2 linked regions of the Cricetulus griseus genome follow. The protein of the gene in region 2 interacts with the protein of the main gene of each other region in a pairwise test. Links are inferred from orthologs where the notes say so. Each region holds a gene or a part of one and is shown on either strand. Other genes may lie near its edges.

Region 1 (3,814 bases), about 28 Mb from region 2:
CCAATCCTCGTGCTTCCTCTGGATCCAGGCCACAGAAATTAAAAAAGCGCTCGAGGTCAGCTGCTGCCCTGAAAAAGCGCTCGCTCAGGTCCGATTTGGAACGTTGCAGACCAGGGGGCCGGCCTGGGCTAGAGGTGGCAGTGTTGCCAGGCGATGGACACAGACGAGTAGGTGAAGCAGGCAGGGGACGAACATCCACTCGGCGCACGGCGACTGTACTAGGCGGTGGACGAGGAGGGGTGGCTGGTGGGACCTTGTGGGCAGATCCTTCTGCCCGTCCAGGCGTTCGGCTGGCCTCAGCTGGGGACACGGGACTATCACACAGGTTGATGAGACTGGTAAGGATGTCAACGTCCAGCTGGGGCCTGCGTCCAGGACAGGGCAGGGCTCGGCGGCTGGGTGTGAGCACTGGCCCACGAGCAGCGCTGAAGAAGGGCTGTCGGGCTAGCGGGGGCTGCACAGGCTCCTGGCGGGTGTTGGCCACATGAAGGCTTTTGACGTACTTGGCCTTGTCAGCCTCCAGGCGTTCCACAGCACTCGGCTTCCGGGCTCCCGCAACTGCTGGCCTTGGTAGCAGGTAGCTTGGGACCTTGGTTCGCAGGCGAAAAGGTAGGGTGGGAGCTGCAGGGGCTGCAGGGCTCAGCGTGTCCACGGGCATGGCAGTTACATGCCCCGAGGGCCGAGGCGAGGAGACAGATACAGGCACAAAGTTGGCAGCTGGATGCCGGGCTCCGCTGCAAGCAAGGAAAGAAGACAGGCTGAGCACGTTCAGACAAAGGCTCGCCTGACTGCGAAGCCTGAGCTATTATAAGGTAGAGGGCACGCCTCTGCCTCGCGAAGAGCCAATCATCAGGCAGAATGTACTACTGGAAGTCCTGTGGCCCCACCTACACCCTTTCCCTCCAATAGTGGGCGGGGACCCGCACAGCTGAGGGAGGGAGGAAAGAGGTTGAGAAGGCAGGTCCGTTTTAAAAAGAGCAAAGGAGGCTCAAGGCTCCAGGCTCAGCTCCAGGGTCCTCTCAACAGCCCCATTTACGGATAGGGAAACTGAAGCTCGGGGAGGCAATGAACTTGCTTAAGCCTTCCCTTGCTCCCCAGATAGGAGGTACTAGTGACCAGGCAGTTGGGGTTGAATGACCGCCATCCACATCCCACCTGAATTGCCCAGAGGAGCCAGATACCACCAACATCCCACAACCAGCCCAGGCAGGAAGCCTCGCAGTGCCAGACTCCTGCCTGGACATGCCAGGCCCACAAAGGGCACAAAAGCAGAGGCTGCAGGGGAGGAGCAGAAAGATAGTCCACACCCCCACCCTAGTGGAGCCCAAGTAGCTTCCAGGATATGGCTCCAAGGCCAAGCCCACAGAGATCAAGGCACGCAGAGAGGAGTAAGCATCAGCCCCAAGCTATGCTGTGCAAAGAACTGTCCAGGTCACAGCACCACCCAGAGCTATGCTGCTGACCAACTACCATGAAGGTGAGCATGGGCTGTAAGGCTCATGCCTGGGTGCTCATGTAGTCCCATACTTGTCCAACAGAAGATCATCCCAGGCATCGAGAAAACATGGTTAGAAAGTGCCACAGTTCTCCCCCACCACCCAAGCCCCTCAGAAACGTAGCAATGTAAAACCCAAGTTAAACTTTCTCATCTGTAAAGAGGGGGGAGGGGCTTAGCCTGGGGGCTACAGACACTTGGCAGTTCAGGTCACCCAGCACCACTAGCTCCTGAATCATACCAACCATGCTTCAAGTTCTCCATGGGTGCATGGAGGCTACTATGCTAGACAGCACTGAAACCGAGAGCATGCCTAAACACAGTAAAAGCATCACCGAGACATACAGACATCCCATAACAGGGATCCCCATTGTGTGCCAGACACTCAAAGCCGCACTCTCTCGTATCATCTCCAACAGCCTGGAAGCCACTGTCACCATTTTGTAGCAGGGAAAACTGAGACTCTGAGAAGTGACTTCCCTAGATCCCAGAGGAGATTAAAATGGTAGTCCCATCATACAGCTTTTCCACACACTATGGGCACACGCGCGCGCACACACCACACACACACACACACACACACACACACACACACACCTGCTTCTTCTCTCACTATAGCCATGGGTCCCATAGAACTTACTGTGGATATGGTTCTCTCTTTGTTGTCCCCCACTCCCTAAAGTATCAGCTCCATGAGGGCAGAAGTTTCGGCTGCTTTGTTCACTGGGTCTCAGCTTCATGGTGTGGCTCTCAATACATGCTAAATAGTCCACAAGTGTGTCCTGAACTGAAAGGCCTGGGTGGGGGGGATCAGCTGAGAACCAGCACCACAGTGGGCTAGAGAAGCCTCACCCACTACAGACAGGTGGGTCCAAGGTAAGGGGTGTAATGTTCCCAGGGCTGGCGATCCAGAGGGGCAGGGGCTCTCTAGGTCTGTAACTGTGAGCAAATTCCATCCCCATTTTTAAAAGACTACCTGTACCAGGCAAGCATAGCATATCTGCAGACATACCTGCTTTCCCCAGCACCCATGGAAACCTCAGTACAGTAGTGGTGTGGGGGCTGGGGATAGGGCTGCTCTCAAGTCTCAAGGGGCTAGTAGGAAGGAAAGGAAGGCTGGCTCCACTCAAGTAGACCCCCCAGGTAACCTTGGGCAGGAAAGGTCTGGCCAGCAGAGCTGCTCCGGAGCCCTGCCAGACTCTGCCCCACCTCCCTAACCCCCCACGTCTGCTCTGCCACCCAAACCAGTCCAACCCGTTGGTAGTGGTTGAGGCAGTCCCTCCCAAACATCACCTGGGAAAAAGGAAGGAGGTCAGAGGGGCAGGGCCAGGGCAGAAGCTCCCCGCCACCACCACCTTGCTTCTATACCCACCACCTAACTCTAGGTAAAGATGGGGGCGGGGACAGGTGCCTGTTGCCAAACTTGGCCTGGTAACCACCTGGGTGCCCACTTTCCCACCAGCCCCTGCCTTGCACCTTGCACAAGAGGCAGCTCTTAACAGACTGTTGTTCCCTTATCTGTTCACCGGAGTTAAAAATAGACTTCCCTGTGCCTTCGGGTCACCGCTGGAAAGATCAAACGGGTTCGTAGCACCTGGAAATGGCCAGCGCTCCATAAATAAACCAGGTTGGCTGACATATACTGAGGCTCTGACTGTGGAGTGTGCAGACCCGCCCCCTCCGAGAGTCTTCTAAGCACGATCCAGAAGGGCGGATCTAGGCCCCAGCAGACACAAAGGAGACATCTGGCAGGGGCTGATCACAATGAGCCAGCAGACCCGCACCAACTCACGTCACAGGGGCCTCTCAGAGAGGCAGCCTGGGTCCGGGTCGCCAAGTGAGATTTAACGTCTCCTCTGGGGACTCTTCTCACCATGGGTTTTCAAATGCTGCCGCAAACGGCCCTAAATGCATAAACCTTGAGCCTTTCTGGTCACAGTTCCAGAACCCGACTTTGTCCCTCCCTTCAGGTTCCCAAAGAACGGATCAGGCCACCAGGAAGGCCCCAGTTTGGTTTCGGTTCTTCCTCACTTGGAAGAAATCCTAGAGACTCTAGGGGCAAGCCTTGAGGTGAGCAAAGGCTGTGTGACCCCCATGATCTGCTGTCCCTCTCTGAGCAGAAGTTGGCCCACGTCTGTTTCGAATACGGGGACTGAATCCACAGTCCCTGCTGCGCTCCCCCCTCCCCAGCACCGCAACATACCTGGCTACCCAAGCCGCCTCCTGCCTGCAGCCTGTGCGCCTCCCGCCCACCAGGCTCAAGTAGCCGGTGTTTGCGGTGTTTGCGCAACTTCCGCAACTTCCGGGGCTTGGCAGGTG
Region 2 (4,420 bases):
CCCCAACTCCATCCCCAGTGCCGGGTTACAGTTGTGTGCCACCATGCCTCACTTTTTACATAGGTGCAAGGGATTCAAACTCAGGTCCTTGTGTTTGTTCAGCAAGCACTTTATCCACTAAACCATCTCCCTGGCCCCCATCTATCTGTATCTTGCTCACAGAGATATTTACCTGTTTATTAAAACTAATCTGTTTATACACTGGGTATATATAATTATACTTCATTGAAGTTGTTTTCTTTCAGTGTTAGTCACCTGAAAATGTGACTGGGATATATTTATGATTTTAACTAAACCTAGTTAAAATCAATAACAAACAATAATAACATCTATAGGAATTTTGAGAAAGCTATCTAAACTTTTATTTCTATACACATCTTATCTAGAATATTATTTCTTTTTCTTTAAATACCACTTGTGTTATTTTGTCCTGTTCAGTCCTTTGATATTTATAAGAACACAAAAACATGCTTATTAGACTATCGACTGAAATTAGATAAGCTTTTCTTCTGAAGAATTGGTCTTTGTCGAAGCACTGTTGATCTCTAACACTCTCAGGATATTGTGCTCTATGCTATGACTGTCAAGCACTAAAAGACCTATAAAGACTAAATATATACAAGGAGTATGTATGGAAAATGCCTTCAGAGCAGAGACACTCCAGAGAATCATACAACTGATGCAGCAAAACAGGATAATATTGTGGCCATTTCTACACATGCTAGAGCAAACAAAAGCATGGGCTGAAGAGTGATTCTAATACTAGATTATCATGCATTGTTAGTTCAAAGACACATATTCTTAGATCATAGCAGCTGGAGAAAAAGAAAAAGTCTTTTTGACTAACTCCACCAAAGGGCTAGAGAGATGGCTCAGCAGTTAAGAACACTGGCTGCTCTTCCAGATGTCCTGAGTTCAATTCCCAGCAACCACGTGGTAGCTCACAACCATCTACAATGAGATTTGATGCCCTCTCTGCCATGCAGGAGTACATGCAGACAGAGCACTCATGTACATAAAATACAGAAATAAATCTTAAAACTCCACCCAAGTCCATTTTCATCCAGTCTTAAGCTAAAGAACTAACGGGACACAGCAGAGGCCCCACAGATGAAATGTAGATTAGGGGCCATAGGAATGAGTAGCTACTTCCCACTATACCTGGACAGAGAATGGACTGCATTTCCTTCCAGATCATATACTGGATGGGACCTTTGAAGCGGCCTGGGCTCAGCTTTTTGGAGATAAGCTGTCTGGGTGAGAGTGCCCTCATTCCTTTCTCCATGCTGTAAGGGACACAAATAGTTTATTTTTTAGACATCCTCCAGGGGCAGAAGGAAGGGGATAGAGTACCATGGAAAAGCACTTACCTATCTAAGAGCGTTGTGATGTCCTAAAGAGAAAAGGAGAAATAGAGCTGTCAGGTGTCTGTTTATCATCTCTAGAGATCTGTCTGGTTATTCTGATCACCATCCAGGTTTACTCATCAATCCTGGCTTTCTGTGCATGTGATCCTCAGTCCATCTCCAACAACAATTTTCATCCTCCACAGGCTTTCTCTAATGAGCACCCAATCTAACCCATGATAGCTGTCCTCTCATTTGCTAACCTACTGATTTCTATGATTCCAGCTCTTTAAGATATAGGAGAGGAGCCAGTAAATCGATAGTCAAGGTCAACTTTTCTTTTTTAAGTGAGCACTTCTAAATACTCCCACAAGAAAAGATTAGAAGCAGTTCCAGTGCCAAGGGTGACCAAACTTGTGAGTACTAAAGTGATCACCAGTGTTGTTTTAGAGGTGAGACTTCAGGTAGCAAAGTTTGACAGAAAGATTTTTAAATAGTTCTCTTTATGATTTCTGTAAGCCCCAAACTCAACAACGGCTATCAGATACATACTTTTTGAAAACTAACTGTAACTCCAGCTACAAGGTTCTTTATGGGAAAATAAAAATATTGATTCATATAACATTATTGATGAAATTGTACTAATCGTGTTTCATAGGAAGATGAAACACAGTTTTCTACTGAACATAGAACAAAAGCAGCTTCTCACAGAGGATCTTAAAGCACTGCAGTGGGTTGGGTTGTGGTGGGGTGGGGTGGGGTGGGGTGGGGTGGATTGGGTGGGGTTGAACTTGGTTAGGGTTTGCTTCCTTTCCCTCTACAAGTCCAGGCCCTCTTCCCTCCTTCACGTGTACCCATAATCAAATCGGTGTGGAATCTCACTTTGAGGAAGTTGAAGGAATTCTGTTCCATCCGTGCCTGAATGTTCATCAGCATGTCTTTGGCAAGAAGACACTGTTCCTGAAGCTGATTCAGATTCAGCTCCATCTCCTCATTCAAGACTTTCCCCTCATCCCGGAGTTCATTTAGAATGTCCTTTTCTTTGTTGTGCAGGAACTGATGCAGCTTTAGAAACTCCAAGGAAAGGTATTGTTGCATTTGTATCTTGTTGTCCTGGAAACCTCCATAATCATCACCACAATTACTACTGAGACTAGCACTTAGAAACAGGGGCTCGCATCCCACAACACACCTTGGAAATTTCCAAACAAATGGCTGCTTAGCATCAACATTCAATCCTACTAAACAGAGCTTATTCCTTCTTTCCTGGCTAGTTTAATGGTGTAAAAGGAAAGGTTTTGTTTTCAGTTTTTTCTCAGTGCTTGGATAATAAACAGTGCTCTATTAAATAATGTTTCAGAGTCGATCCAACATTCTAAAACAATTTTATTATTATTATTTGGTTTTTATTTTTTTGAGACAGGGTTTCTTTGTGTAGCCTTAGCTGTCCTGAAACTCACTCTGTATATCAGGCAGGCCTTGAACTCAGAGATCTGCCTGCCTGTGCCTCTGGAATGCTGGGATTAAAGGCACCTGACTAAACATTCTAAAATTAATACTAACAATAACCTTCCTAGATTGGCAAAACAGCATCTACCAAGTGATGTTGTTAAACTAGGGCCATAAGGAGCCTGGAGGAACTGTACTTTCAAAACCAGAGCTGCTCTTGCTGCCAGTACAACATAAAAGAAACAGGATATGAACAATGTGTAAAGTGCTAAATTGATAATTGTGATACTTGCAGCTTGTACATGTGAGGTGTGTGTGTGTGTGTGTGTGTGTGTGTGTGTGTGTGTCTACAGTTTCCTCCCTGGTGAACTCTATATATCCTGGCTTATCAGTTCCTTATTGTCTTCATTTATAATGGCTTACAGCTTTCTCCAATTATTCCCAATCACACATAGAATTATATCATTCCCAGAGAATGTATCATCTTCAAAATAACTGTTTTGCTCCAAGTTCACTTGCTCCTTACTGTAGCACTGTTGAATCTCAATGAAAGTTTGTATTCAACCTGGGCGTGGTGGTGCATGGCTCTAATCCCAGCTCTTGGTGGAGGGGGCAGGGGGCAAAAGCAGGCAGACCTCTATGAGTTTGAAGCTAGCCTGGTCTACATAGTGAGTTCCAGGACAGTGGCGCTACATGGAGAGACCCTGTCTCAAGAAAACAACAAAGTGAGTTTGTAATCATTGACCCCCTCTGTTTCTATTAATCAACTTCTACCTTCATGGCCTGTCTTATGTAACTTAGATTCCATGGATAATCATTATCATGCTCTTAACATAGTCTTAACTGTTCTTCTAACCAATGTGTTTCCAGTTTCCCTTTCACCTTTCTCAGGATTTCCCAGTATAATTGCTTCCACTACCTCTAACCACATTTATTTTAAATATTAAAATTAGTTAGTATTCTGTCCTAAGCTCATTCTATACTTTCTAGGCAGTATCTCCCTGGCCCCCTGCAGCTTTAAATTCCATCTAAATGCTGATAGCTTTTCTCCAGCTTTTGGGCTCCAGACTCCTCAACCCAAACCTGATACTACAAATCACTCCTCTTATCTAATAAATCACTACATCTATATAGTTTCCTCCCTATACCATTTGCCCTTGTTATCTCTGCATACGCTGCTCTTTAGTACAGTTAAGTGCCATTGTTCTTGGCATACTAACCTGCAATAGTTTTCTAACCATATCATCTTGTTTTTGTCTCTTTAACCTTTTTTTCACACAGTAATAAGACATTTTCAAAATGAGATAAAACTGTGTCTTGATTACAACTCTTTATTTCTCATGTGACAAGATCAAGTATCCAAGAATTCAAGTATTCAAAAATATTTAATGTCTTTCATACAAAGACATGCCTGGCTGGGCCATAACTGCCTCTTTGGTATACCTTGCTTAGCATGCTCTAACTTTATCGGACATTTTTCTGTTTAACTTCCTGCTTCTGAACTTTTCCTTGTATCTTTCCCTATCTCTACAACACTCTTCTCCAGGCTGTTTGTTTCGTATTCCCTTCACTCAATTCATGTAAGTTATTCATCCTTTAGTCCTTAAAAAAAGTTGAGAGTGGGT

The links.
Region 1: the proteins of E3 ubiquitin-protein ligase TRIM69 (region 2) and Fam110a interact in binary tests that used the Homo sapiens proteins (3 or more experiments, as listed by UniProt). The two-hybrid records come from large-scale screens. The link is inferred for Cricetulus griseus from reciprocal best matches to the Homo sapiens genes TRIM69 and FAM110A.

The regions. Positions count from the first base shown.
Region 1 is NC_048599.1:28,044,568-28,048,381, reverse strand, and holds part of Fam110a (protein FAM110A), read right to left. Parts: intron 735-3,814; 5' UTR 659-734; coding exon 1-658.
Region 2 is NC_048599.1:56,257,236-56,261,655, forward strand, and holds the start of E3 ubiquitin-protein ligase TRIM69, read right to left. Parts: upstream 2,806-4,420; 5' UTR 2,445-2,805; coding exon 2,229-2,444; intron 1,394-2,228; coding exon 1,371-1,393; intron 1,287-1,370; coding exon 1,162-1,286; intron 1-1,161.